Schizosaccharomyces pombe: one gene and its partners. The gene in region 2 interacts genetically with the main gene of each other region. Each region holds a gene or a part of one and is shown on either strand. Other genes may lie near its edges. The genes, in order: tsc2, any1, tsc1 and pub1.

Region 1 (8,725 bases), on a different chromosome or scaffold from region 2:
ATGTTTTACGAGGTTTCATCACAAATTAATGATTTTACATTTTCCAACTGCGGCAAGTTGAATGAACAGCCAAATTACTAATTCAACAATATTGTCTCGCTAAGCATAAGTGAAATTGTCTTTCCTGACATGTTAATCTCAACATAGTTTGCTTACTTTAGCTTCGAAGCCGAGAAGGTTTTACCGAAATTAACGAATGTTATTTCTCGTTATTTCTCAAACAACATCATTCATGATTACTGTCCGCCAATTCACTTTTACCATCTTCAAGTTTCAATTTATGGCGACGTCCAATGTATCATCACGTGTAAATGAGCTTTTAGAAGCGGTTAAAAAGGAATTTGAAGATATTTGTCAAAAAACTAAAACCGTTGAAGCTCAAAAGGATGATTTTGAATATAAAGGTATCTTATACAAGAATTTGCTGACAAATTTGCGGTACAAATCTAACACTTCTTAAATTAGCAATGATATCTGCACAAATTAATGAAATGGCGCTCATGAAACAAACCGTTATGGATTTGGAGATGCAGCAGTCTAAAGTGAAGGATCGGTATGTCAATTTTCCTAATACACGCTTGGCGAGAAGGTTTGTTATATTAGTACAAGGTTATGCAATTATTGTGAGTGTTGTAGAGTCTTACAAAAGCGATTCCTCTCTAAATATTTATACAATTTACGGTCGTTGACGATAAATCTTTAAAGATGCTAAATAATGGTGGCTCCTTTGATGGGAGTAAATTCTATTAAGTAATCTTTTCATATTTTTACTCCGATGAAGGGTATTTCGTTTTTTACTCAGTATTTGGATGTTTATCACTGTTCGAAGATTCTCTGTCCTTTTCACACTTTTGTCAGCACCAGCATGCCTTCTGCTATGTGAACATTTATTCTCAATTTTATATTATATTTTCTCGAAAGCTATCTTTCTTGTTACTAACTCTCTCTAGTTACGAAGAAGAAATCACCTCCTTAAAAGCTCAACTGGAAGCTAGACGCAAAGAAATTGCTTCTGGCGTCGTCCCACAGTCTTCGAAAACTAAACACGGGCGCAATAGCGTTTCTTTTGGAAAATATGGAAATGCGGGCCCTTTTAACTCGGACAACTCCTCGAAACCTTTGATACTTAATAACGGTTCTTCTGGAGGAACTCCTAAAAATCTTCGATCACCTGCCATTGATTCAGATGGTACTGTTTTAGCTCCTATTCAGACCTCGAACGTAGATCTTGGTTCACAATATTATTCCAGTCCTCATGTACGCCCTGCTGTGGGTGCAACCATGGCTGGATCTGCTATGCGAAGTAAGTTCAAGCTTGCATTGTAGCTTTTGGCAACAGCATTTGTTTTTTGACTTGATCAAGTTTATAGATACTTTTTGTCTTTCACTTTATTGTTTGCATCTGGTATGTTGTACACCGTATGTTCCCAGACAATTTTTTAATGCTGTCATTAATTCGTTTGAATTCCTTGCGGCTTTTGTTCATTTTTTGTAAAACAAAATACTATTGCCGAAACTATTTTGCTTCCTCGTTTTAATTTGGATTTTCTTACTTACCATTCACAGCATTTCCTTCCAATTTACCGCTCGGACATCCTCCACCTCCATCTGACTCAGCTAATTCTTCCGTCACACCTATCGCTGCTCCTTTGGTTGTAAACGGAAAAGTCTCAGGTAATCCTCCTTATCCTGCTGAAATTATTCCGACATCCAATGTGCCTAATAGAGAGGAGAAAGATTGGACTGTCACTAGCAATGTACCTAACAAAGAACCCCCGATCTCTGTTCAACTACTTCATACACTGGAACACACAAGCGTTATTTGTTATGTAAGGTTTAGTGCCGATGGAAAATTTTTGGCTACGGGTTGTAACAGAGCAGCTATGGTTTTTAATGTGGAGACCGGTAAATTAATTACGCTTCTGCAGGAGGAATCTTCGAAGCGTGAAGGTGATTTATATGTTCGCAGTGTAGCATTTAGTCCTGATGGTAAATACCTTGCTACTGGTGTCGAAGATCAACAAATCAGAATATGGGACATCGCTCAAAAACGTGTTTATCGTCTACTGACTGGGCATGAGCAAGAAATTTATTCCCTTGATTTTAGCAAAGATGGAAAAACATTGGTTTCTGGTAGTGGAGATAGAACTGTTTGTCTTTGGGATGTTGAAGCTGGCGAGCAAAAACTAATTTTGCATACCGATGATGGTGTTACTACAGTAATGTTTTCTCCCGACGGTCAATTTATTGCTGCAGGTTCTTTAGATAAGGTAATTAGGATTTGGACATCGTCCGGAACTTTAGTAGAGCAGCTTCATGGTCATGAAGAGAGTGTTTACAGCGTTGCCTTCTCTCCTGACGGAAAATACCTGGTTAGTGGAAGTTTGGATAACACAATTAAGTTATGGGAGTTGCAATGCGTCTCCAACGTTGCACCCAGCATGTATAAGGAAGGCGGTATTTGCAAGCAAACTTTTACTGGACATAAAGATTTTATTCTAAGTGTCACTGTCTCTCCGGATGGAAAATGGATTATTAGCGGCTCGAAAGACCGAACCATCCAATTTTGGTCCCCCGATTCTCCTCATTCTCAGTTAACTCTCCAGGGACACAATAACTCAGTAATATCGGTTGCTGTTAGCCCGAATGGCCATTGCTTTGCTACTGGTAGTGGTGACTTACGAGCAAGAATTTGGTCTTATGAGGATCTGTAAGAACTAGCGATGTTTCATTTATAGCATTGAATGACAATGTCCGAAACCTACTTAATTTTTTAATTCTTCATTTGCCAATAATGCCCATTGACCATTGTGAGACTCGCTTCTTGGCAAGTCTTTTTTCCTTTATTTTATAAAAATTCATAACCGATTTTGTAACCCTTCAAACTTGCGGCTTATTTTGGTCGGAATTTTTCTATCAAGTCAAGCCGACCAGATGTTTTTGCTAATTCTTGAATCATTTCAATTCCCTTTTTTTAATTTTTGATACTTCCATACAATCCCCGACAACCGAAACTCTGATTTTATCCATAGTATTTCATTAACTATTAAATCCCAACTTTTGTATATATTTAATAGACCCTTCAAGTTATGTATATGTTTGCGCGACCTAGCTACTTAGCAATTGGTTTTTACGGTTAAATAACTTCATATATTTTTTGAATTTTGAATGTCGAATACTAAGTTTCTATTTATTAGTTTTAATGTCGTTTCAACCTATTCCTCTTAGATAAGGTAATGCTTCCCCTAATTCATAGCAGCCTGTCAGCTCTCCTCCCCACCCCTACCAGTGTAGCTAATACTTGAAATCAACTTCCATGCTCATAGTTTATGATCTTGAATATTCCATTAAGTTAAGAGTTCAGATTTGCTTTATGTGGTTATTCTGCTGAAGGTCCTAATTTATTGACGTTGAAAAATAAAGGCCACATAGATGAACAATAAATCACTTTTGGATCTTTCTAGTGAGCCTGCTATCAAAGATACAGACATTCTATCATATTTTGATGCTAACCTTCCTTTTAAAAAAAGGCATCAGATTGTAAGGAGTATTTACCATGGCTTAAAATACTATATATATTCATCGACTTCTATCATTCAAGTATGGCAAAATATTCAGGATTTTATCTCCACCAAAAACGATAATGCTGCTTTTCGGGAGCTTGTATACAATCTTATGATGAGATATGTTTCTACACAAAAGCATCTCTCGATTATAGAGCGCCACACTTTTTTTCAAACTATTGAGAAAGATCCTTTTCAAGATATTGCTGAATTACAGCTTCGGCTTAAGAGTTTGAGTGTTTTAACGGATGAAGGGCACAAAATCTCCGGTATTGAGAATAGGGTTGGTCCTTTGTTGAGTGCATGGTTTAACCAGTATCTTCAATGGCAATCTCAAGCAACTGAATTGCAAGGCAAAGACGCAGATTCAAAGCTCGTACATTTGCTTTTTTTTAAAAGCCTTTTTAAGTTTTCTACCAACTTAGTAAAATTTCAGTGGTTCCTAGTGCCTGAACCTCAAATGCTACAGCTTGTTAATTCCGTGGTACAAATATGTAATCACGCTCGCTTAGAAGATGTGGTTACTGAGGTTCTGATGTTTTTTGATTCCATGATTCGCTACTCGGTTATTCCAAAAGCTTCACTGTATGATACTGTTCTTATTTTGTGTAGCACATACATCAGCACCTACTCATATTCGAAACTTGCACAATCTGTTATATTTAATCTTATTAGTAGTCCCGTGTCAAATCTGGCTTTTGAAAACGTATTTAATATACTTCAATACAATCGCTCGAATGTTAATGCTGTACGGGGCGCTGTGCGTTTAATGCGTTTTCTCATGCTGCAAGAAGTGAAAAATGATGCAATAGCTTCTATAACTTTAAGTTCAAGTATTGAATTTACTGAGTTTCCATTAGGATTTAATGAGAATGTTGATTTTGAGATCCTTGGTACTGTGTATCTTTTTTTACGTACACCTTCTATATTAAATCGCCTTAATTTTTTGGATTGGCATCGGATTCTTAATATTTTAATGTATTGTTCACAATATCTACCTTTGAAAGCTAGTACATCGAAGGAAGCATTTTCGAAGACTGCAGCATTTGCTAATATATATGATCGTGTTTTGGATTTTTTGGATTTCGAAGCCTTGATTCCACTGCTGCAACAATTTCAGGTTAAGCTGGTATTCTTTTTGAAGGATGTTCTTCCAGTGTTAAAGCCGAAAATTCGAAAAAAACTTTTACGTCTTTTTGAGACTTACAATCTTATATTTCCTTGCAATCAATATTGGGTATTCAACCTTGAATTTTTACTTGGTATTTACCAATGCAAAACATTTGATCTTGAAGATCGAGCTCTTTTATTTAAGCTTGTGGAAGATGCTTGCTCTGTTGCTGATGAAAATTCGGCCCCCATTTTGTGTTCGAAATTCCTTTTTCCAGTAATTGAAAGCTTTTCTAAGGAATCTGATGATTGTGTTGTTTCTCCTGTATATAATATGTTGTTTTTCTTGTCTGTCAATTTTCAAAACCCGGGACTTAAGGATTGTATCGATCATATTTTTCAACAGCTAATTTCCGACACGAGCTCTGTTACTGTTCGCAGACTTGCCACGAGTACATTAATTCGTCTTTTTTATTATTATTATGACTTAAGGGATGCTGTGCCTATTCAAGAAACACTGGCTAAAATGTTAGAAATCTTGGAGACTCCATCTTTCCCTTTTGTTTCTCGAATGTTGTGTTTACAATTCTTTCTTCGATTTCGAGCAAATGGGACGTCTATTTATATATGTGAGAATATAGATTTGAATGAACCCTTCAAAGTCTTAAACGTTGATTCAGAACTGATTCCTGCAGTTTATCCCATTTCTGATTCTTTTGTTAACTCAGCAACAGTAGAAAAGCATATTTGGGAACGAAAAGAAAACGATTTGATTAAAATTTCAAATCATTCTACAGAATATGGCAAGGACTTTGTAACGTTCCCAACGTCTTCCTTGTTAAGGTTTTATCGAAAATCCATGGCTACAGAGTCTAACTGGACTATCCTTATGTTCATGATTACCCACCTTGCTGATCAAATAAGTAATAGGAGTATGTTTATCGGCGCATTAGAAGAAATCTATAATTTACTTGATTTTATGTGTGATATCGTTTTTGAAAGAGTTTCTATATCTGCTGAAATTCCTTCTAATATTCGTAAGGCCAACATCATGATACCAATCTTGCAAAACGTACAAATGCTTTTTGTTTATCATGATCAATTCAGCAGGGCTCAGGAAGATGAATTAGTCAGCGTTTTTTTTGCAGGGTTGCAAAAATGGAACGAAGCATGTCATGTTTCTATTCATTCACTTATGTTATGCTGTTATGAATTACCCGTTTCAATTCGAAAGCAGTTACCTGCAATTTTAGTCACTTTGTCAAGGTTAATCACCAAACCTGATTTGAGCGTTCACATTTTAGAATTTTTATGCAGTTTAGCAAGATTACCTGATCTTATTGCAAACTTTACGGATGCTGACTATAGACAAATTTTTGCAATTGCTTTGAAATACATTCAGCACAGAGATTTCACTAAGGAGTCGAAAGATTCAAATGATACGGAGAGCATATTAAAAAACTCTTACTCATCATACGTTCTAGCTCTAGCCTATAGCGTGTTACAAATATGGTTTCTTTCGTTAAGATTAACTGAGCGTAAAAAATTCGTACCTTGGATATTGCGTGGACTGAAGCTTGCTTCTGAAGGTAAACCATTGGAAGATTTATGTCTTGTTCAATATGACATGATGCAACAATTTTGCTATTCTAATTCCGACATCAATAACCAAACATCTACTTTTGTTGACTCAGACGTGGAAAGTGAAACTTGGATTCGTGGTAATTCACTCTTTACGATAAACGTGTCGGTAAACTCTGGATTCTTAGAAGCTGTCATTCGTCGCCCGACAGGTACTACGCAGTATACTTTTCGAAATGAAGCAAGTCTGCAAAAGTTTTTATGGGAGGAAAATCTCACAAGTTCAAAGGCTCTTACGAGGGGGCTTTTGTGTACTCCTAGCAGCTTTGTCTCTCATTTCTTGGATCCACATGGTATTTCTTTATACAATCAGCCTCTTCTGCTTCCCTCTAATGATGATTCTGTGCGTAGGGCTATAAGTGTTTTTGACCGTATTCCTGTAATTGAATCACTGAAGGCTGGTCTTGTGTACGTTGGGTACCAACAGCGTCGAGAAGCAGACATATTGGCAAATACAAATCCTTCTGAAGATTTCCTTACTTTTCTTAACGGTCTGGGCACATTATTCGAATTAAAAACAGATCAAAAAGTTTTCGCTGGTGGTTTAGATAGGGAAAATGATATAGACGGTGCGTTTGCGTATTGTTGGAAAGATAAAGTTACCCAAATGGTGTTCCATTGCACTACAATGATGCCAACTAATATAGAACATGACCCTGGGTGCACATTAAAGAAGCGTCATATTGGAAATGACTTTGTTACTATTATATTCAACGAATCTGGTTTAGAGTACGACTTTGATACAATTCCTAGTCAGTTCAACTTTGTGAACATTGTTATTACCCCTGAATCCGAATCTATCAGAAGAACAGGGCGTCAAATTAAATTTTATAAAGTTAAAGCGTTGACCAAATATGATATTGACTTTAGCTTATTCCGTCGTTACAAAATTGTTTCAAGCGATGCATTACCGGCAATTGTTCGTGATGTAACTCTGAACGCTGCCGTTTTTTCACATATATATCATCGCAGTGCTGGTGATTATGTTCATATATGGGCTGAAAGATTACGACAGTTAAAAAGATTACGCGAAAAATTTCAAGCTTCAGTTTTACCAGAAGACTACAATCTCGACGAGCAAACAAAGACCAAGCTTCAAAATGGCACGAATTTTTCGGACTTTACTAGTTATTTATGAGCCATAAGGGCATATAAAAAGTCCTAAATTAAAAGATTGATTACGATTGTGCCTTGCCATCATTAATTAATTTTTTTTATTTAATCTTAAATATTATTTATAGATCAGATAATGAAGATGTTAAGGAAGATGAATAAAAGAAACGGTATCCATGTATATGAGATGAATGTAGAAAGGGTTATGCGCACAATTTTTTTAAACAAATGAATTGTTGTTGACAATGAAAATCGGCGTGCATGAGTTTTGTAAAGTGGGAGGCTATAACGGTCAGTTCCAAAAAAAAAGATAGCAGTCCTCAATAATATAAGAGCAAAAAAGATGGATATAGAAGCACCATACCAAACATAAATTTGAATTTGGTTAGGAAGAATGCATAACTTTGTCTGATAAGAACTTTTTTGATCGGCTTTAGGGTTGTCATAAGGATAGTTCAATGAGAGAAGTTGATATCCCGGATATAGTATGCCGCTGGTCATAGAAAATGCCTTCACATTATATTCCGTGGTGGCTGCTTCTCGAGTATCCACCTGGTAATTATGCACAACTTCGCAATAATCGTGATCGTCTCCAGCAAATGCGGCAATTGGTTCAACAGCTTTTAAAATAGACTCGGAAAGTTCTGGCAAAAGCAAGTTTTGATACTGATATCCCAAACCATATTTGATAACATCATCTTTTTCACGAAGCTCCCCGCAAGAATTGATGGCAGGGCGAAACAAAGGAACGTGAGATAGAAGGATCCTAGGTCTCGAGTTGTCCTTATTTGTTTCAAAGCTTTTTAAGAAGTCTCTAGCCGGTTGATAAACTTGGGGATTGACGTTGTTTGATAAACGAATTCCATCTACAATAACCAGTGTATGATTGCCAACGTCTATTGATCGAGATGTTGGACCAAAAAGAGATTCAAATCTTTGAATATCCTTAACAATAGCGTGATTACCAAATCCAATATCATGATTGCCAGGGTAGATTTCCAATTTATTGGTGAATTTTGGGTCAAGGACGTTCATCATTCTGAAATAATCTTTTTTAAATTCTTCAGTTGCGAATTCTCTACCTGTGTCCATCAAATCGCCCATTATGAAAGTAATATCTGGCTTCAGTGATTTATGAAGATAACGCCAATGCCGACGAAGAAACTGGTCGGAAATCCATTTAACGATTCCAATTAAAGGTCGAGGATAATCATAAGTCAAATCGTCAACTAATTGAGGATCCGCAACCAATGCAATCCTTACTGGATTCCCAGTACTCTCCCATTGCTCCCAAGACC
Region 2 (6,529 bases):
CAATTTCCGAAGGAACTATTCGTATTTTTATATCATTGCATGTGCAGAGTAAGAAATTGCCTGTTTATATTACTGAAACGAGCGGAAATGCTGTATGTGAACATGCTTTGATAAACAAAAGTATCTGAATGGTATCATTATATCTAGGTTATTTGCTTGATTGAAAAGGTTAATCAGTTTGTTTATACAAGTGATTTGCCAAAATTTCGTTGCTCAAATCCTTGAAACAAAGCCCTCAATTGATAGTTTATACCTTGTATCTCTTTTACCCATATACAAATTTTGTATGTATTTATGTTCTTTGTGTCTAACCTCTCATTAGAATCACATCTTTTACGTCGATGAAAAAGTAACCGAAAAGCTTCAAAAATACCGTCACGAAGAGTACTTTATCGTGAGGACTTGGTGCTCATCAAGTAGTCATGCCTTCAAGCTACATAAAGAATGGAAAATTTTGAGATATGACAGTAATTTTCGTTATATTGGTAATGATGTACGGTTGAATATTTTTGGTTTACCTTATGTTTCCCTTGTGTTGACTAACATATTATTTGTAGCCTGTTTTTGCAGTTTGTCATATTCGAAACGGTCTTTTATGTGAATTTAATGATGGCGTTTACATCTACACAACATCCCAGTCTTCGGATATTATGAGACAGACCTCCTTTCCAAAAAGTGCCTCCACATATTCTATAGACAGGCGGAAGGATGGTTACACTATTCAGAAAATCACTCGAATTTTGAAACTGGCTGAATGCATAGATGAAATGCACATTGCTAAACATGAAATTCGAGCTCATTTTCAGGAGGAGGAGTTTCAGCAGATACGTTTGATGCACAAAAGGATGTTACTTCGGGATGAAAAAATCGATGAACTGGCTAAATTAGAACATCTTTGGCAAAAACAAATTAATAGCATCACTCAGATGAGGACGAAATTTGACAAGACGAAAAGCTGGTTATCCTCAAAAAGGAACACTTTGAACAAATCCAAAGAATCCCTTCAAAAAGATGAAGCTGAGTATGTGGAACTTGCCAATTCTTTAAAAACAAAAGTAGAGACCAATATAGAGATTCGAATCCTTATGGCACATGCTATTCGTATGCACGTTTCCCATCTTTCCAAAATTTACCCAATCCAACCATCGCCTGGCAATCATGACGAGTTTACAATTCGCAATCTCCGCCTATCTTTTGAGCCAGATAAAATTAATAATGTGGAAATGGCTGCTTCCATAGGATTTTTGGCGCATTTACTTCAAACTCTTTCAAAGTATCTCGAAAAAGAACTCGCTTATCCAATTCTTTGCGCATCTTCGAGATCCTCCATCCTGGATACATTGACACCCGACATCCCCACGCGTATCTTTCCCCTTTATCCAGCAACTCGACCAATTGAGCTTTTTGAACATGCCATTTATCTTCTCAACCAGGATGTAAATGATTTTTTAGAAACTTTTGGATTACCTATTGACCAATCCATGGACATACTCAGGAACTTTAAAAAACTGCTCCAATTTATTTTATCAGGACAACATCTATCTTTTGTACAAGTAACGTCTACCGCTCCTTAACAATTCCATAAGCTTAGGCACCATAAGCCTAAATTATCGTTAATTGCAAAACTACGCATAACTTGTCTATCGTTTAATTGTATCTTTTCACCCTAGTTTACTCTCAACAATCAATTTCGTTTTCGTATTCTTTGTTGGAAATTCATATACCCATTTCACGGTTTAATTTTAATCATCTTAATGAAGAGTTTTTATGGACATTTGCCGAAGGCATATTACTCATTGTCATTGCGACAACTACTATACAATGCATTTACGTTTAAAATATAAAAATAAACAGATAATGATGAATGTAGATATTATAAATAGTTCCCTTAAATTAATAAAACTTGTGAATTAAAAAATAAAAAGAGCCATGTTCATTTTTTGATAGTTATGTGATGGTGATCGAGCTCTTCCGGTTACATCCGACCCACATATTCTAGGTATAGGCAGGCGGAGCGGGTCCTACACTTTCAAAAACTGGCGGGCATTCTTCATCCCAACTAATACCTAAACCAGCTGGCGTGGTAAGTGGCTGAACGACTGATACTCGTAAGATACGGGCATTGCCCATATTGTTTCCCGCAACGTTCTTTTTTCTATTAACAATGGTCTCAAAAATTAAATGATGAGAGACTTTTAAGGAAAAAGGGGCAGGAATTTCCACGTCACAGCTTGGCTCTCTTAAAGAAGATGTGTTAATTTGAGTAGATAGAAACATCTGATTATCAATGAACTTCCATCCCGATTGTAAATCTTGTGTACTCAAAATTCTTTTTTCTTCAATAGGTCGAGGTTTTACCAAATCACGATGGCGTTCACATGGTTGACAACTAAACTGCATATGCTCCTCCAATCTCCAAGTAACTCTATTGATCTTCCAATCGTTGCCGTCATTTTGGGCAAAACCAGTCATGGTAACTTCCATAAGCGCAGCTCCATGAGGATGCAAGGTACTGGGCAAAGTAATGTTTGCAACAAGATTCGTAGGGGGAAAGATACGTTTATGGATGGTATCAGGCGAAGGAATGGCAGCTCGCTTTAGTTGGAGAGGAAACTTAAGAACTTCGGGCTTCGAGGGAGAAATTCCGCCTTCAGGAGTACCATAGCATAACGTAGCTTCTAAATAATACTCAAGCTTGATGTATCTGTTAGAAACCGAAGCAGGAAGCGAACCAGGGAAAAGCCAACTAAAAGGCCAATGCTGAGTACCAGGTCTATATGTGGTATTTGCAGCTAAATCCCAAGTCTGTAAAACCTCTTTTGAACCCGCACAAGCAGAACAATGAGAGATTGCAGGATGAAGAACGGTGATCCTTTTTATGAGTTGCAGCTTGAGGGTATGTACTTTAATAAAAGGTTGATGTAAAATCGTCAGTTTTAAAATGCCAGACGCAAGTGCACCACTAGACGTTTCCGGCGAGCCAAGGAATACCAGCGGCGGTGATTCCATACGTATATCTAACGTACAGCGAGCAGGGTCTTTTGGCGTGGTTGAACGAGGTAGTGCAAGTTTTAATGGCATAGTAATAAGAAAATCTAAGCGTTTGTCGGTAAAACAAAGGAATGGAAAAAAAAATAGAAATGGAAAATTTTTTAAAAAAAATTACCAGTATGAAATGATAAACCAGGAATAAAATAATGTGTGTAAAAATGCCAAGTACACCTAAAAAAACCAAACCCTACAGTGGAAGAACACTGCTAAATTGAACTTAAAAAATGTGAAAAGGAAAAACCCACCAGGAAATTAAAGAGAAGAAAGAATTAACGAAGTATGGAAATAAGAAAAAAAGTCGTTAAACCAAACAACCAACGACTTTTTTCTTTCGCCTATTATCCAAATTTTTTTGAAGATGATTTATACCTATTCTTCTTCCGTAGAAAGTAATAGTAATCCAATTGATGAGAAAGAAGTAAACCGACTTGAATTTAACACAGGGATGTAAGGTAACAAAAAAGCTGAACAAAGGAACTTTATGAGTTTGCTTTATGTCTCCCTTAGTGATGATGTTTTTGTTTTAATAATTCAAAATCTCATGTGAATTATCAACCCAAAAATGTGTAAGAACAAGCTAATTAAAAAAAAATAGCAGACTGTCAATTAAAGTAGAGCACACACCTTCTTAAGAGGAGCTGAAAAAATGAAAAGAAACCCAAGGCTAGAGAAAATGAGAGGTTCGATGGGCAGTTTATATTCGCAAGATTCGCAATAGATCAGCAGTCCACGCAAACCAAGTCGATTGAACACCAAAATCTAGAGAAAAAGCAAGACAAAACTGACGAGCGATTTCACTAGAAATCGATCTCTTAAAGCCCTTTTGATTTCAAGAATCACTAGAAAATACTTGGTTCACGGTGAATGTTAAAAACATGAAGAGATGGGATGATTGCTCAAAATTTATTTTAATGAGGCGCATAGAAGTTACGGTATCAAGATTTTGCGTCATAAAAAATAATCTCGTGTAATTGTTTTCGCATGTTATTTCCGTTAATGTTATTCTGGAATAACGGTGATTAGGTTTACGCTAAACGAATTAATGCAGAGAACCGTGTTTCCATAAGTGACGAATTTTTTGATGAAAGAGGGCCGCGATGAGACGATTACATCAATTAATAACGGAATAAAGTGAAACGAGCTTGTGCAGAAAATTGAAATATGTATGTAAGGAAAATATCTGTTAAAAAGCAAGAGAACGAAATTTTTTATAAAAGCTGTGTATACAGTGCGAGAAAGTTAACCGCTAAAGATTTTGGTGTATGATAATATACCGATAGAAATACAATGATTTCCTGTGTAATATAATATTTCCTTGAGAAGTTTACAAAAATGGATAGAAGGAATTCTCAATCATATTCATGGTGCTAAATCTGATCTGATCTCACTGTCATTGTTTTGTTTCCTCCCATAAGCTCAGTATGTCCCCACGCCACAAGTAATACGTAGCAAGTGAGAGGTGTCTACTGTTGCAAGAAATACTCTATTGTAACCTACCAGCGCAAAAGCTTCGAGGCTACAAATTGCTTATTAGTTTTATTAGAAATCATCACAGTTGGCCTTACTCGTACCAGTCTATTCATAAGGTCAGGAGCATCCCGTCGATCTGTATCCGCCTGATCTGCAAAATACGCAGGAAGCCGATGAATAATGCCCTTGTGACCGTTCGTATATAAGAAAATAAATATTATTAAAAAGAGGTTCAATCAGTATTTTTAATTCAAAAGAGAAAGGATAAAAGTTGAAAAGCAAAGACATCCATAGAAGGAAAGGAAAAATTTTTTTGTTAAATTAAAGTCCATTTTTGTAATTTGGTGTACAATAATAGTTTTATAATTCTTCCGTGAATGCTCTCCGCGGAATAAGGCACAATCCTAAGGCAGCAACGTAGTAAGGAGATTTGGAATTGTAACTTATTGCAATTAGCAAGACGGTATATTTCGGATCGAGGAAGACAAGGGAGGCTCGAGAGCAGCAAATGGTGAAAACAAGCAATGTGTTTACCGACAAACAGTGCAAATATCAACAAATGAGGCAAATGGGTTGATCGAAGAGGCGGTTTCTGGGAAGGTCTGGCTCGCTGACAGAGTGAATGTAAGTAATCAAAAATACTCTTAATAAGCCCATTGCAATTTGGCGATTCTTATGCTACAAGGCCTCTTTGTTTGCACTGGCACACAATCTCTAATTTTGTTTCTGTTTTTGACATGCAACATTGCTACGTACGCAGCGTATATTACTCATTCACAAATAATGTTACTTTTTTTGTTGTTGATATTATTCTTTCATCATTAATATCACTCTCTTATTACTGACACTTGCTCCTTATGAATTTGTATTCCAATCGGTGTCCATCTTCGTACGGTTTTTTGGTTTCCGTCTCATTTGATCGCCATGATGGATCATTATGATTCATCATCGCTCTCGTTATGGCCAACATAACATAACTGCGCAGTATTATAAATTATTCCCGTAAGTTTCCCGCTTTAGAAAACAAAGAATCATGGTAACAAAGAACGTATGGAACACTGAAACCTTCATCTTATAAATGTCGTCGAATTTTCTCATCATCTTTAATTTCCACTTAAACAGCTACATCAGATTTTTTTACCTACCCTTTTTTGCCCTACCTTACCTTACTTACTGACTCTGGATAGGTATCATCGAATTCTATCATAGACCGAGCAAAAACAAACAAAACGGGCAAAAGAAAAAGAAGAAAAAGAAGGACATTGTAAAGATCAAACTTTACAATATTATTAAACTTATACAGTACAGAACAGTGTACATGCTCAAACACTCTTAGTCCATTCATTTACCTATGTATTTGTATGCAACGGTATTATTAAAAAAATCTGTAAAGATTAGTGAATTTCATTCTGCTTCATTAATGTAAGCTACGCAGTTTGGTATCTGATTTAAGGATACGTAGAACTGCGGTGAGTTTTCCTTGTGATCTATTATATTACAATACACAGGTTGTATAAGTAGCAACTGAGTATAGGTATTGTATTAACTGGGTTATAATGTTACCTATCACTAATATAGCTCATAACTGAACTGAGGAACGAGGTTCAGCAGTAGCTCTATTTATAGTATTCAGATAATATTGATCTTAATAGATTATCATTAAGATCAATCTCCATATCGTATCATACATGGTACGATATATAATTAGAACATGTGACATATAGTGATACTCAACGTAGTGTATTATAGCGTAGTGTAGTATTGCTGACATTGCCCTCCCCAAGATTTTCTATGTAAATCTGAGGATAAGTCATATGTTCTCAGATATTTAGATTATTGTTTTTAATATAATCATTGACAATTGCTTTGTCCGCTTGTAGCGCTGTAGCTAATGTAGTCCATCCTGACATAATAGTACTCGGATTTAGATTCGAAATGTACTTGACATTTAAGTAGAGTACTTGTTCTCTGTTTTTATGTTCTAGGATATGAAGAATTGTTCCAATAT
Region 3 (8,629 bases), on a different chromosome or scaffold from region 2:
TTGTGGCCGTGTATTCAGAAGATACTCGAGCCTCGATTGCACCTCTATCGTCGAATATGTGATTAAACAGTTTAAAGTGAACCAAATGTTTGACCTTGTTATATTGAAAGAATTGCTTTCGCAGATGACTGGGCTACAACCATGGACAAATCTCTCTGACAATCAGATTCAAGGGGCTGCTGGTGGACCAGTTTTGCGACAACTTAGTTTATCTCTTATATATGAAAATCCGGACGTTGTTCGGAAAAGTTCCATGAGACTTTTTAATACGCTGCAAAAGAACGGATTGGCAACCCAGCTATTGGTACTACTCTCTCAAAAATATTCGACCTGTATATATGATGTTACTGATGAAAACTCTCATTTAAAACTTATTTCTTCTCTTCAAGACGAATGCTCTGATGTTCTTTATCTTTTAATGGAATTTCTTAATATGGTTTGCTCTCCAAAGAGCTATTATAAATTGATTCCTTCATTTGAGCAATTAATTCAAGATTTTCATATTCAACCTCAGGTTGCATTTTATCTATCGCGTTACAAAAATTTAGATCACAGTTTGACTGGTTCAAATACTGAGGATGCAATGGATATTGATTATGAAAATACTTCATCTCCAAACACTGCTAGCAACCCCGTTTGGAGTATTGACAATTCTGTCATAACTGAGTTATTACCTAAACAAATTTGGGATTATTTTTCACCTAATTTTTATTTAACATTTTGGAAGCTATCGCTGTATGATGTTTTTGTTCCCTTGGAACGTTATGAGTTTGAGCGTTCTCGGGCTTTTGATCAAATTAGGCAAACTGACGCCGCTAACACATTTTATTCACGACATCGACACGACCGACAAAAAATAATGCAATTGTCTAACAGCTTACAGAATGAACTTAAAGAACACATTAATTCACTTGAGAGTGTAAGAAAAGTTTTGCAAGGTGACTGCGTGAAATGGTTTATTCCAAATGGTGTTTTTCCTAATGGTACAAGACTTGAGCATGCTAGATTCAACTGTGCTCGGTATTTGTGGACACTCTGCATTGCTCCCCGTTTAAAAATGAGCCCACATGATGCTTTGTACTGCGCAAAGTTTGTAAAGCTTTTGCACAGTCTTGGAACACCAAACTTTTCAACTATGTCATTTTTAGAAATTTTGTTTAATTCACAATTGCCTTCATTTATTTTTTCAATGACACAACGAGAGGCTGATAATTTTGGAAGATTTTTATACGAAGTACTCTATGATATTACTAGCTGGTACAGGGACAAAATTCTTTACGAACGCGAATGTTTGGCAAATGGTGCTTTGCCTGGGTTCAGGTTATATTGGTCTGACGAACAAAATGATCCCGATCTTTCCGCTGTCCTTCCTTATAACAAATTTGTTTTGCTATTTAGTAAATGGCACAAATATCTAACATCTTATTTTGAGTCATGCTTACTATCTACTGAATATATGCATATCTACAATAGTGTCATAATCTTGGAAAAAATTTTGCCATGTTTCCCATTGATAATTGAAAGTGGCAGTGCTTTGAAACGAGCCGCTGAACGATTAAAGGACGAAGAAAAACGAGAAGATTTAAAGGTTTTGGCTTTGGGGTATTTTGCAAAGCTCTCAAAAAAGCAACCAGAATGGGTTTCTTTTAATTCATTTTCTGGTACTGTAAGGCCGAGTAATTCAGAAAAGCTTCAGAGACCGCAACAACTTTCAGTGGCAGCTACATCAGCAGTTGATTCCAAAACTGCTTCCATATCGGAAGAACAGGCAAAGATTGATAAACAGAAAGTAGCTTTGAATCCTAGTGCACCAGAGTTTGTACCTGATAGTACGCCTTCCGACGCAGTTGCTTCTGAAACTGACAATAAAAATCTTGTTGAGAACAAGGCAGTAGAGAAAAGGGTTGAAGCTAGAAGCTCAGCTAATGAAAGAAAACAAGAAGAAAGACGTAGAAAAACAACTCCTGAAGGAAACAGACGTGCTTTACGAACACGCACCCCTACGAATGAGGATATACAAAGATCAGACAGTAAATTGCGAGAGGATCAGTCTAGAGACCGAACACCTCAATCAAGAAGTTTTACAAATGAAAACAACGATAATTTAAGGAGCGTGTCTCGTCATACTCGACGCGAGCCTCAGCAAGCACAAAACCTAAATGCTAGGCGTGAACATGAATCACAGAAATCTGACAGATGGCGCCAAAATGGAAACGTAAATCGCAACCCTCGAGTGTCTAATAACAATAGCACTAATGTTTCAAGAGAGCGCTCGTCTGAAGCTAATCATAGGACAAGCAACGATAATAAACGTGATGAGGTTACAGAAGGGAAAGATAAAAACAAAAGGCAAGATATTTCTGGCGAGAGTAATTCTCGGCAGAATAATGCTATTAGTCGGGCTGGAAGAAGTAATGGATCTAATAGGGGAAATGATTCCAGAGATGCAGATGGTCGTCGTAGCACTCATTATGCTTCAAATAAACGTCCCCGATCTTCGGATAGTCAAAGCCCGAGCAACCTACGAGAGGAAGATGAAAGAGAAAATTCTCGTCGTAGGGCCAGGCAAGACGACCGAAGGGATCGGGATTCACGACAGCAAAGAGATCGTCCACGGGATAGAACATCTCGATCTGCTCGAGAAGAGAAAAGAAGAAAAATTCAATGATCCACGTTTCAAGCTTTAACTAGATGTCAGCTTTTTTTTCTTATCTAACTAAATTTGTAATTACAAGGAAATAATGAAAAATCTTTATATAAGGAGATTCATACACAGAATTATGATGGTCGTGAAAAATCGTAATCTAATTATTTTATATGGAATGAGCAAGTATGTTTTATCATAATTGACCAGTTCATTTCAAGGACCTTCAAAAATATACCTACTTAGTATTGGCGAAACGTAGAACGACTTGTATCAGTAGACTGTCTACGTGGCGGGCCAACTTTAGGATGCAAAGAGTCATTACGAATTATGAACTTGCTTTGTTGCAAACCAGGGCTACTGTGTATTGAGCTTCCAGTATCAACAAGCGGTTTTTGAAAGTTTTTTAATTCTTCGACCTCAGCTTGTGATTCTAAAAACTTGCCCTCCAACTCACGGTACCGCGTTAATAGCTCATCGTAATTTTCTTTTATTTCGGATATTTTAGACAACTGAGCGTCGTAATTTAAGTTGACAGGATTATGCAACTCAGGTGCGTTCGCTTCAGATGAAAGTCGTTTTTCCAAATCAAAAATCTTAGCCTCGTAAACAACATTAATGGCTTCCAGGTCCTTTTTCAGTAGCTCAATATTAGCTTGAAGATGCAAGTTTTCTGATTCCAGTTTCATTCGATGTTTTTCTGACTCGATCAACTCTCTTTCTTGCTCATCACTAACAGCTTCACTGTTAGAGAGAATCATACTACTGTCCATCTTCGTATTTCCAAAAGAAGTATCAGAGCTCGAAGAGACTTGCTTTTTGGAGATATTAACGCAGCTCAAATGCTGTTCATATTCTTTCAACTTAGTTTCATAGAGTTGAAGCTTCAACTCCAGTTGATTTTTTGAAAACGCAATGTCAATTTGAGAATTTCGTATTGATTCCAATTGCGAGATTAATGATTCAATTGATGATTTGAGTTCTGATTCTTCACTTTTCCAAGCTTTCTTTTCTTCTCGTAACGCTTTTATTTTGTTGTTAAAATCATTTTCCCACTTAACCCTACGATTTAGAGCTGCCTGTGATTCTGAGCGATGTTTGTCAATTTCAGAATTCAGTAACTCTATCTGAGCTTTATATCTTTTGTTGGTTAAAAGCAATTTTTGCCTTTCTGATTCCACAGCCATATCTAGTATGTGCTCACGATGAAGCTTTCCAATATTTTGCAAGTGCTGCTGACGAACAAATTTTTCAAAACGGAGCTCATTCTGAAGAAATAGCAGATCCCTTTGTAAGCGTCGAATTGTATCGTTCGTGCTGCTCAAACTTTCACTAGTCAGTTCCAAATTATTTGAGCCGCGTTCACCTTTAACCATGTGAATTGAGGAAACACCTTCACTATATGATGTACCATGCGAAATATTATCATAAGAATCTTCAGTATTTGATAATTGGGCTTTGTCAAATGTAGTCGCGGAATGAACAGAACCCGATATTGATGGATTTTGAGGCCAAGATATGGAAAAAGGCTCAGAAGCAATATCATGGCTTTCATTTGGATAGGCCAATAATCCAGTAGCTGAACTTGTCTCTTCATAAGTGGTGGGAAGCTTACCACCAAAAGGATCCATAACACTTTCGGCTATTCCAACAGCGTTAAGACTATTACATAGGGCCACTACAGCAATAGAATCAAGTCTTGTCCAACGGGATTTATCGGTAAGTTCTGTTTCTGCTGTATATTTAAGAAAATTAGAATGTGCCAAATGTCTACCGAGAAGACCATCCGACTTTGTGGAGAGGAGTTCTTGATTAAAGGAATAACGTATTTGGAAATTATGTTTAGAAGCATACAACTTAGGATCCCGAAGAAACTCTAAAAAGTTTATAGGGTACAGAGCGTACAAAATTGAGAAAAGTTGAGAGTAGTCAAGACTTTCGAGATAATCTGGTTGAGAAGAACCAACAATATCATGAACATCATTGTAAGAGCTATCTGTTTGAGAGGTGGTAGTTGAGGCATACGTTGACATAAAATCGTGAAACACCTCCCAATTACCAGACGCAGTAGACGATGGGAAGCCAGAGGTCGGGTCAATCATTGAAAATCGAAGATAGATACAGAACAATCTATATAAGGAATCGTCTAAGGAGTTACAAATGTGAGACAGTATCATAAGGATGAAAGATAATGCATACGACAGTAAGATTGGTGAAGTATCAAATTCCGCACATTTTAAAACAAGGTCATAGAAGCCAGTCTGTGGTATTTCATATAAACGAGGACCTTGCCGCCGTATTACTTCAACCATAACTGATAAAATAGGGATTCGGGTTGGAGGATTTAAAAAATGATGACAAAAACAAGAAGAAAGTTCCTTTGGTCTCTGTATCCCATAATGGACGAGAACATTAACCAAGCATTCAATAGTTTGATTCCTTTGCTCTTGAGATTCCACGTCACCTAGATTTTCGATAGCTTTAGAAACGTAAAGGTCAACCAAACGAGTGATAGTTTCCTCAGCGCACTCCCGTCTCAAGTCTCCACCCCATTCATCCTCGTCGTGAAAAATTAAAATGTAAAATAAAATACTTTTCAAGTCACTAAATACCGGTTTCAATTGGGTAGGAGAATTCAAGAAAGGAAAAAAGATCTGGTCCCACCATTCACCAACTGCTTGGCGATCCAAAATCAACAACGGTATAACCGTTTTCAACACAGCTAGCCATAGTATCCGTCGCCTTGTATTATTGAACGGCGTCTTTTCGTAGATCTCGTCCAAGATGTGTCTTATTTTTTGTGAGTTAGTGGGGTTTTGTTTGGGATAACGCTGCTGATACGACTCAACTTCCGCAATTAACTCAGTCAAATCGGGATAGCCTTCCGATTCTTCTTCATGAAGGACGTTCCATAATGCTTTGACTAGCGATTGCAGCGGCATTCGTACAAAGTTGGCAAAGTCAACGTTGATATACAACTATGCGACATTATACTGATAGCAAGTCTTGGCAGCATTGATAAACGTAACGAGGATAGCGTAGTCTGCCACATTTTTTTAATTAGTCTTTGCATTTTCAACCAAATTATACAGCGCTATCCAAAAATCCTTTAACTAGATTACATGTCAACCATACAGGTCGTAATTCGTTTTTAAGATACGATAGTACTGCAATGATATTTTTTAGTGTAATGTACATAGTATAATAAATTTATTGTAAATAGTTATAAATATCCTAAAATACTCGTTAAGAATACCAAGAAGTATTTATAATTACACTTATATAGCTAAAAATTGAATTGAGGAACGTTGTTTTAAACAAGCTTTATTTGAAGGAATCATAAGTAGTAAAGTAAGTTGTAATTTTTATCCAAATTATGTAAACATCATCTATACCATGGTACTTGATCCATCTCCAAAATTTAAAGAATGTATTAAGTATTGATTTCTAGGACTATACAGTATAGTAGGCAGTGTTCGCATTTTCAGCACAGAGGAAATACGAAAGCAAACAATGCGAAAACACATTGAGAGTTCTCTGAATAAACATGTAAAAATAAAAAGAAAACGGTTTTACTATTAAGGATTCCTAGGGAACTTTTCTTTCAAAGGAAGTTAGAGGGCAAATAATTTGAGTCGGTCTAATATTATGGTAACATATTCAAGCACTTTTAACGACATACTCTTAACTGCTATGTTATTCCACAGTGTGTTACAGTCACTTAGAGAGAAAATATTTCATTAATAAAAAAAAACTTTTATAGGGCAGGTGTAAGAAGCGTTGCAAGGCGCAAAGTAGAAAAGAATATAGTCATGGAAAAGGGAAAGCCGGTGCTTGTAAATAATTACAAACACCAATATTTTTTAATTTATATCTTAAAGTCTTCCAAGTTGGCGATGTAAAGTTTCATAACAAAAGCCATTTCATTTTCATTGCATATTTTGGGGTCATTTCAGTACCCAATGGAACTAACAGGAGAGATGCAGTGAACAACTAAGAAGTATCAAAATATCTGTAACTGTTTATAATCCTTTTTTGCTTACTTCTTTTACTTTTTGTTTTTCCCCAGTCTCCAGGAGTGCTGGGTAAGCTTTATTTACCAACCATCTGTGAATTATCCAGCCATAGCATATCTCCTTCTACTAGTTTATATAATATTTCCTTTCAAAAAATAGGCAAGCGACTGCATATCCTTGTTTAAATGTCTTATTTTGATTCTTTTTTTATTATTATTCAATCGGTGTTATCACATGAAATTTACCGATTCATTAAAACCCCTTTCGGAATAAGTTGACGAAAGGTGGAAATTGCTACCTGTTTTCTTTGTTCTGCTTTCTCACTGTTAATTTGTTGGGGTAAACAAATCAATTGCACAATGTTCTTTGTTCCGTTAAAGTTCCCATTGTTCGCCATTTAATGATTTCTTTGTTTAAAAGAAAGCGTATAGCAATGGTTAGATGGGAAACTTCGAAGTATAAATACTAAGGCATTTCCCGAATTTTCATCAGTGTGCCTATATCGACGTTTACAAAATTGCTCCAATCCTTCATTCGATTTTAAATTTAATAGGGATCAGACCTATTGAAAACAGCTGGAGACCTGATTTAGTATCGAATTACCCGTAATTGATTATAAAAATTGACGGTAATCAAGAAAGTGGGACTATTACTATATATTTAAATTTCTTTTATCTTATTTGAGTTCTGTACTTCTCTTTTATCTTTTAAAAAAATAAAAGAAACAATATTTAACACTCCATTGTGCTTGGCTGCCCGATCTCTGTCGCTTTTTCGCTTAGCAAGATCACAATTCTTTTGTTCATCACTTTATTATTTATGATAAAAGGCTACAAATTCGTAAAAGTAAGAATCAGCTTTGGATGCCCGCCCTTCATAACCCTTCTTCACCACCGCCCAGTTATGAAGCTGTTACGTCTTATCGCAACGGAAATTCAATAGATTCCGGCGATAAACGTCAACAATGTTCTCGATTAATGAAAATTACCTCTAATGGTAGACCCTATAGCAAGGACTTTTTGGAGCTCTTCTCGACGATGGTAATTTCTACGAATTTTTCTCGGAACAGGTACAGATTCTCATATGTGGAAAACTCTTGTACCTTATTGCAATTGCTTTCAACATTGGAAAATCTTCAGCTGAGTCAGGTAAACCGCATTAAAAGTAGATGCGGCAGTAAAGTCTTAAAGTCTACTACCAAATTTACGATACCTAAGACTGCTGCTAAATGTTTATGTAATACATTTTTAAATGCTCGTTTGCTGCAAATTGTAAATAACCCATCGGCTAGAAAATTTTCAAACGAAAAATGTCTTCTTCAACTTACAAGGAAAGGTTACTCTGTTGTTAGTGAGTTTCTACAACATAACGGACATAATTCTCAAGCCGAGCTTTACGCTTCCAAATGGAATCATTCTGCGCCCGTCATTGTTTCCATTTCGCGCTTTTCAAGTACCGATCAAATACTTAAGGATTCTTCTTTTTGTGAAATGTTGCTGGTACGTATGCTTGGAAGCGTCCATGAAATTGGGAAATCTAAAAACCCTCTTCTGGTACCCGTTTACTCCGTTTCAAGTCCCTCTCCAAAAGACTCCTTAAGCAAAGTCACCAAATACCAAATGTTTGGCATTGACATAGCTGAATGGCTTATGTGTAACACTATGCTCCTAGACTGGTCGGAAATGGAAACTGTTGCTAGCGATTTGTTAATTCATTCATACATTGCTTACGAAAATAATTCCGAGACTCCTTTAAAGTTTAGCTATGCAAAGGGTGTTTCCTATTTTTTGACTGGAAAGGGAATTGCGACTCTAGGATGGACTAAAAATGTCTCCAATAATAAATTAATTAATAAAATAAATGAAGTCGAAAAAGGATCCACCAATAAGGAAATCCTGGAAACCATTCTTAGAAAGCCGAATCTACAAACCTATTTCTTTGAATTTCTGAAAAAAAATTTTTGTGACGA
Region 4 (7,515 bases), on a different chromosome or scaffold from region 2:
GTAACCGTTAGCAACGTCGTAAAACGTCCTTCGAAAGAGACCGTCGGCCAATTTCATGATGTTAGCCTTGTGGATGCAAGTGACCGATTTGCGGCCATTTTGTAAGGCAAAATCAAAAGCAAATTGTGCAATTCTCTTTGATTTGTATTCTGTAATGATTTTCAAAGATTCCACGACTCCCGGTACCGACTGGTGCTCGAGACCCGAGTATTCACCTTCAGTGTTTTCACGAATAATTGCAAAATCAACATTGTCATGACGAGTCTTAAATCCAGGAATGTTTTTGATGAGCACTAGAGAGGCATAGATATCGAGTTCTTTTCTCAAGGCAACATTGAACGAGGTATGGCCTCCTTTTTCAAATGGAGTGAACAGAATTCCCTTTAAACCCACTTTATTTCTCTTGAGAGATTGAATTGCCTCATGTAGCGCGTCTCCAGACGATTTATTGTTTTTTTCCATTCCTGTAACATCAATTTCTTCAAATTCGATAGGAACGTTTGCCGTTTTAAAGATCTCTGTCACTGCATTGCTCGTTTCTCGTCCAATTCCATCGCCTGGAATCAACGTTACCGTGTATTTACCTCCATACTTTAATGGTTGAAAAGCTGAGGATTTTCTTACTAGTGATTTGAACATTATGTATCTTGTTTACTTCTTTTCTGTAACATGCAAACAGGATTGTTTTACAAGGCTATTGTGGTTGGTAAAGGAAAGCCGATGAGACCCCCAAACAAATACCTACACATCCATCGATTACCCCACTGCCCAATTCTCCTTAAAGGTAGCAATTTACGAACCTTATTCTGTTACCTTATCCAATGACATTTTAACCTCTTTAAAAGAATACTTTTTGTAGTTGTATCACGATATTTCACCTTCTACTCTAATATCAAGGTTTATACTGTTTTTTAACTCGCTATAAGAATTTATACTATTTACTATAGGTTCACACATCCAAAAAATAAATATTTGCACGAGATTTCATAGTTATCGAATTCGATATTACTGAATTTTGACCAATGTATAAGCATTCAACTTATTACTAACAAATGATAAATGTTTACGATAATAAACACAACTTCACTGTCATAGCTCTGCGGTCTGATTACACATGTATTGAAGCGGCTATTGTTTTCTTAATAAGCCCTTTTCATTCAATAAAGCCTATAGTTGTGGGTAAACTTTTCATGTCATCTATTTACTACGGTGACCAGGTAACTACCACATAAGCAACGACCTGGACAGGATACAAAAACCTTACCAACTAACTACCTATTTACTCACAGTTTCAAATAAAATGTTGAAAAAGGGCGGTAATTTCATAAATATAAAATCACTTATGCAGTACGTAACTTAATAATAGTAAATTAACTTATATGTTTTGTGCGAAGAGCATTAAGAGGAAATGTGTTTGCAAACAAGTATAAAAAGAAGAAGGAAAATGGTAGTAGAGAACACAAAGGTAGAACATGATGATCCAAGTATTTTCACTCAAATGAGAAAAAAAAAATAATTTCGGAAACTTTACACAGAAATTCTTTTTCACTGTTAAACACCAATAGTTCAAATATCAAAAGTAATCAATAGCTAGCTATCCATTTTACTCCTGACCAAAACCAATCGTCTCTTCAACAGCTATGGACAATTTATGATCCAAATCTTTTTTCGAAGTATAAGGAGGAAGATCAAGTCGATTGAAACAGGTGTGGGCCTTGGGAAGTTTATTGGGTTCACCAGCTTTTTCAATAGTAAACTTACGGGGGCCATCACTTCCTTGCAAATCTTTGAACCCGTTGACAGGAATTCGGCTAGTACCAGTGGTAAATTGTAAAAGTCTGGATTTCTTTTCATTACTCCATTCATCCATAAGTTCCCAAAACCATTTAATAATCTGGTCATTTTCACTGTATGAACGATAATCCGTATGCTTCTTCCAATCCTCCATGTCAATTTCGGAAATGCCTCCAATCAACAACTCCAATTCTCTCTCGTCAAACACGTTAATCAGTTCCTGTGGTATGAGCTCACTAAAACCTTCATGAAATGCATTAAACTGCTCTTCTATACGTTTTTGAATGCGCCATACAGTCACCAAATCAACATATTCGCGTTTATTCTCTTCTGTAACTTCAATGTTTCGACCATTCGGCTTCAAATCAATCGTAACAACCTCGCCAAAACAATTGTCTTCGACACTAAAGGTCAAATCAAGAACACCGGTTATATCGTTGTCCAAAATCCAGACTAAACTTCGATAATACTCTGCATCCATACTTTCCATATCCTGTAACGTCACCTTCTTTTGTAAAATCATTTTGTAAAAAGAAACAACGAAAAAGGCATCAACAAACCGACGATGGAAAATTGCGAGACCAATGACTCGGCCTATGAACTTGAAATAGTTCAAATGCTCTGGATTAATGCCAGAATGAGGATTAATTTGAAGCGTATAATTATCAACCGAAGAGTATTCAAATAAACAATAAAAGGGGTTGAACATTTCATGTGATAACAAAAAGAAGTATTCACGGGATAATCCACCGTAATCCAAACCATCTTCACCATCAAACTTAATCATCAAACGTTTTTTCAAATCGGTTGCAGATTGTCTCATAATTTCCGCATACGAATCTTCAAAGATATGATTTCTACGCACTTTAATGTGGCACTGCCCTGGCAAAGGATGCAAAGCTGGTTGCGAAAGGAAATAAATCAACTTTCTACGGAAATCACGTTTGTATTGAGGAACGTTTTGATCTAACGACGAAGGTAAACGAGGATCATCCCAAGTGGTAGTCTTGGTATTGTGATCAACAAAATATACACGAGCAGTATTGGTAAGACGCATTTCCCAACCACTTGGCAAAGGACCAAGTTGAGAGACAGGTTGTTGCTGAATAGTAGCATTATTAGGACCGCCATAGGAACGAATGTACTGTTGACGGCGCGGATCCACCCAAGTAGTAGTTCGCGTATTATGATCCACAAAGTAGGGTCGACCCTCTGGTGTATACCTTTGCTCCCATCCCGGTGGAAGCTCTCCTGAACCAGCAGTAGTAGCGTTAGAGGTCAAAACACTAGCTTCTGTACGACGAGCTGCATTGCTAGAGGAAGGTTGAACACCTTCGGTAACATTCGCAGACGATGCACTACTATGCAATTCGGCTGCGGCTGCTCCGGCAACAGAACTTAGGTTGGGGCGAATCCACGTTGTGCTTCTTGTATTATGATCTACATAATAAGTTCGGCCAAGATTATCGGTACGTCTTTCCCATCCAGGAGGAAGGCGCCCATATTGATCTTCAAATGAACTAAATGTGCGAGGTTCTGAACTAGCAGGGGAAGCAGCAGGTGCGTTGTCGCGGGTAGGTGAACCAGCACGAGAGGAAGCAGGGTTACGAGACACACTGCTACTTTGTGAGCTTTGCGGGTCATTGGTAATGCTAGTACGTTGGGTACGTGCACCTGATGCTGCACTGGATGGAACCTGTAAGGTTGACTGCGCAGTCGTTGATAAGTTTATGATTATCTTGCCATGAACTACTGTATTCTCATTTGACTTTTTCAAATCGCGGGTCAACATTTCATCACCTCCAATGGCGAGATCGAGCACATCTCCAACACGAAGATTTATCACTCCTAGAAAGCCTTGGCCTTTTTTCTTAAATTTTTTCTGATCGAACACCTGAATCGCAATGGTGCTATTATCTGTAACATTACTAAAGAATTGTTAGAAACATTGTTTTTAATCAAAAAGTTAACATTAGCTAAATTATAAGGGATAAACTGGAAGAAACCCCAACTAAAATTGATATACATAAAAGTTACTTGGAAAGGTCAAAACCTGGGATATACACTTACACTTCAAAAGTCTCATTCCAATAAGGGTTTAACGTCTTTTTGATAGCAGTTGTGGTATGTGTTTGCTCACCATCCACTGTTAGTACCGCAAACGGGTCAGGAAAACGAAACACATCTCGTTTGTAAAGGCCATCAGCAGCAACAACTATTTTGGGTCAGCGTTTGCACAGGGCATTTGAATAATGTCATCACATACTTGTTACTCGAATTCGACGAGATCTAATCATAAAAGTTAGCAAATGTGTTTATAGCAGTTAAAGAACTACTTACTGAGCTGAGTTTGACATAGGGGGAAAAGATGGTAAAATTTCAAACCAGCGTTGCTTTTGGATAATAAAAAAAAGCCAATTTCCCAAAGAAAGTCAAGTATTTGTGCTTGCAAAAAAAACTTTCAATTAAGGCCGTTTTATCCTTTCTATTTGATACAAAAACGCTTTTTTCGGGAACGAAATAAATAAAAAAGAACTACAAAAGGAATCCTTAATCAAATTCGTGCTTTCAGCGCACAATTTTGAAATCCGTCGGATTTCGCGTGGTGTTGGCTGAAAGGAGAATTAATCGGTCTTGCAGATTAGATCCTTAACGCATTATAACCCATTTCCTTATATATATACAACGCGATTACCAAATTGTTCTTTATCTTTTTTGGCGTACAGAAAATACGTTTTACGTGTTAACTACGAAAGTAAATATCATGCAGCACAATGTATGATTTGCAAGCTATAAGCATTTAATAAATTGATTTAATACGAAAGAATGAGGAAAATGTATATCTAACCACTTTGCGTTCAAGTGATAGTTAGAACTGAGAAGAAAGAGAGGAAACGAAGAATTGTAAAAGGTACATACAAGAAGGCAAACGGAGTGCCGCGAATAAAAGTAATAAAGCCAGAACTTAGCAACAACTCTTAAACAGACAATGCTCAAAATTTTTATTTTTTAATTATCAGTAGTCGAGCATGCTGGCCAAAACAAAGTTAAGTAAACATCCAGCCACACGAGAGAAAGTAGAGCTAGATGGTCCTCAACATGACGAAAGAGTAAGAGCGATAAGTGCAGCGAAGGGAACGTGACGCTCCATTACATATACGAGACGGTGAAAAAGGAACGGAAGGAAAAGAAAAGGAAAAAGTACAGTATGTACATTTATTTCAAAGAAATGAGATAACGAGATTGGTTAGGCGACTGAAAGTAAAATTGAAATGGCTGGTCATAAAGACTATTTGCTATCCACTTTCAATAACAAGAAACCATGGGATGGAAAACAGGTAGCTGTTAAAAGTTTCATTTCGTTTTACACTATTCAGGAAAATTGGCTTTCCGTCGCATTTGACAAGAATTCGCCATTCTGTAAAGAAATGTACAAATGAAAAAACAAAGCGAAACGGCGAATGAAACAGAAATGATTGATAAGTAATGAAATGCAAATGAGAAAAGGATAAGAATAAACAAACCAAAGAGACTTTTTTAAGGGTTGTATCTCACTACAGTGAAACAATTGAAAGAAAAATTCAAAAGTCAGTCAAAAGATGAAGTCGATTTAAAAGCAATAAGTTAAGGAACCAGATGACATATTTAAGACTTTGAATGAAATGCAAGCAACGAAATTTTCTTAAAAAAAGAGGGCCATGAGAAAAAGCAAATAGTTAAGTTTAAAAAGAAAGTTTGAAAGAAGGATAAATAGTTTGCTAAATAACTCCTTTTTTAAAGAAAGTAAACCGACGGACCAATTGATTGTATGAGATGGTATAAGCGAAACCCATAATAATAACAAAGCTTTGCAATGAGAATGTGAATTTCTAATACCATAAAACTGTTCAAGCAAAAAGGAAATGAGTGAGTAACGGTAAAACAAAGAGATAGCAATAAGATTGAAAAGATCGATTACTTAAGATTTTCGTAAAAAACAAAGGTAAAAGCCGAATAAAGAAAAAGTTGTTATACGAAAAAGTGATGAGCAAGCTTTTCTTCGCAAGACTTTCTACCATCAATTGAAGGCAAGCGTAACTAACGCATTTATTTTAAGCGACGGATATATCCAGAAATTGTAAACAAATAATTTTTGCTTAAATCTATCGCAACAAGTGTTTAAGCGCATACTTTAAAACAGGTTCAACCTGCGAGCTTCCGATGACGACCGAGGAATAGAAACGTTGCTACTTGATGGGTTGTCAGCAAAAGGTGAATAATTGGGCTGGTTAGAAGCACCAGTGCTTGTTGGGGAAAGAAGATTGCTTTGAGATCGACTAGACAGAGCTGCCCTCGAGCCGTAAGAGGATTCTCCAGCTAAATCACTAGCCATGCTTTCACTGTCACTTTCAGGAATCGTAGCTAAAGGACCTTCTGGATAGGAATCTGAACCAGAACCACTGTGTTCTGCAGCTTCGGCCGCAGCTCCAGCGGCACCAACAGCAGGGCCTGACTCAAACGGAGATGCAGACAAACCTTCAGAAAAGTTGCTTCCATTAGATGGAGGCATTGTAGCTTCAGCTTCGTTAGAAGCAGAAAGATCAGGTGGATTTCCAATCGGTCTAACCATACGGGCTCCTTGAGGACGAGTAAAGCTTCCACCAGTATTAGCTGCATCAGAAGCATCAGCACCGACACCAGCAGCGGTAGCAGCTGCAATTGGACCAGCTGAATTACTACTGCCACCCAAAAGGCCGGGCTGAGAAGCTGCAGGCGGATTGGCTCCGCCAGCGCCGGCAGAAGGTCTAGGAGCAACAGGCCGTCCGTTAGTATTGTTTCCAGCAGCAGGTGTTGGGCTTCCATTCCAGCCACGATACCTGTTATTAGTAGAGGGAGCACGATTTGGGCTACGGAAATTGGAGGGTTGATTGGGGTTAAATCCGTATTCCTCGACTTCTTGCATGCGCTCAGCCTTAATTCGTTTGGACCGTTGATGCCTTTTCCAAAGAAAAATTCCTAAACCAATCAAAATTAGAACTACACCAACAGGAATAGCAACAGAACAACCAACAACTACGCCGACATGATTGCTTGACTTGTTAGATTTACTGGGCAAAGTGCCACTGGAAGAATAAGAAGAGCTAATAGGCGTAGACGAAGTGCTGGAAGTGAAAGAACTGGAGGAATTCCAATTATTAGTAGTAGTGGGGGTCACCACTTCAGAAACGTAAGAAGTTGAGACCAATGTGATTATTGAGGGTCCATCTCGATACGTACTACTGACAATGCTGGCTGAAGAACTCAAGCCGCTCGTAGTCATGGAAGAGCTGTGGTAGGAAGAACTAGATGATGGGACACTAGACGAATGGCTTAAGGAACTACTGGACATCCCACTGGAGGAACTACTAGCGACAAGAGAACTACTGCTGCTGCTAAGCGCGTGACTCGAACTACTGGAGGTCGGGGAAGCACTGCTACTGGAAGTCAGTGTAGCACTGCTACTAGAGGTCAATGAAGCACTGCTACTAGAGCTTTGTTGGCTGCTTGATGAGACCAAAGATGTGATAAAAGAAGAAGAAGCAGGAGAAGTAAAAGATGAGGATGAAAGAGGTGAAGACGATGATGAAGAACTAATTGCAGTAGCACTAGACGATGAAAGCATAGAGCTCGAACTAGAAGGAATCACGCTTGAGCTACTCAAACTCGTACTAGCAGCAGCAGAAGAGCTGCTTGCCGGAATAC

Evidence for each region.
Region 1: of any1 (region 2) and tsc2, changing one suppresses a phenotype caused by changing the other (phenotypic suppression), as found in Schizosaccharomyces pombe (2 studies listed by BioGRID, with this or other methods).
Region 3: of any1 (region 2) and tsc1, changing one suppresses a phenotype caused by changing the other (phenotypic suppression), as found in Schizosaccharomyces pombe (one study listed by BioGRID).
Region 4: of any1 (region 2) and pub1, extra expression of one rescues a mutant of the other (dosage rescue), as found in Schizosaccharomyces pombe (2 studies listed by BioGRID, with this or other methods).

What each region holds. Positions count from the first base shown.
Region 1 is NC_003424.3:368,672-377,396, reverse strand, and holds tsc2 (Rheb GAP, tuberin Tsc2), read left to right. Parts: upstream 1-3,265; 5' UTR 3,266-3,432; coding exon 3,433-7,452; 3' UTR 7,453-7,556; downstream 7,557-8,725. Other genes in the region: transcriptional corepressor Tup12, read left to right, coding at 281-404, 466-553, 951-1,303, 1,567-2,714; SPOM_SPAC630.12 (lipid phosphatase), read right to left, coding at 7,557-8,725. UniProt on the Schizosaccharomyces pombe protein: Together with tsc1, required for uptake of various amino acids from the environment and for proper conjugation. Involved in induction of gene expression of permeases and genes required for meiosis upon nitrogen starvation.
Region 2 is NC_003423.3:1,806,407-1,812,935, forward strand, and holds any1 (arrestin-related substrate adaptor Any1), read right to left. Parts: upstream 3,914-6,529; 5' UTR 3,082-3,913; coding exon 1,996-3,081; 3' UTR 1,852-1,995; downstream 1-1,851. Other genes in the region: phophatidylinositol 3-kinase complex subunit Vps38, read left to right, coding at 1-92, 323-493, 558-1,574; Tf2-9 (retrotransposable element/transposon Tf2-type), read right to left, coding at 6,342-6,529.
Region 3 is NC_003424.3:672,653-681,281, forward strand, and holds tsc1 (Rheb GAP, hamartin Tsc1), read right to left. Parts: upstream 5,608-8,629; 5' UTR 5,587-5,607; coding exon 2,887-5,586; 3' UTR 2,669-2,886; downstream 1-2,668. Other genes in the region: THO complex subunit Tho2, read left to right, coding at 1-2,668; G-protein-signaling regulator Rgs1, read left to right, coding at 7,524-8,629. UniProt on the Schizosaccharomyces pombe protein: Together with tsc2, required for uptake of various amino acids from the environment and for proper conjugation. Involved in induction of gene expression of permeases and genes required for meiosis upon nitrogen starvation.
Region 4 is NC_003424.3:3,959,959-3,967,473, reverse strand, and holds pub1 (HECT-type ubiquitin-protein ligase E3 Pub1), read right to left. Parts: upstream 4,409-7,515; 5' UTR 4,152-4,408; coding exon 4,135-4,151; intron 4,084-4,134; coding exon 4,061-4,083; intron 4,010-4,060; coding exon 3,865-4,009; intron 3,723-3,864; coding exon 1,604-3,722; 3' UTR 1,302-1,603; downstream 1-1,301. Other genes in the region: isocitrate dehydrogenase (NAD+) subunit 1 Idh1, read right to left, coding at 1-639; protein Mtl2, read right to left, coding at 5,966-7,515. UniProt on the Schizosaccharomyces pombe protein: E3 ubiquitin-protein ligase which accepts ubiquitin from an E2 ubiquitin-conjugating enzyme in the form of a thioester and then directly transfers the ubiquitin to targeted substrates. Regulates ubiquitination of cdc25.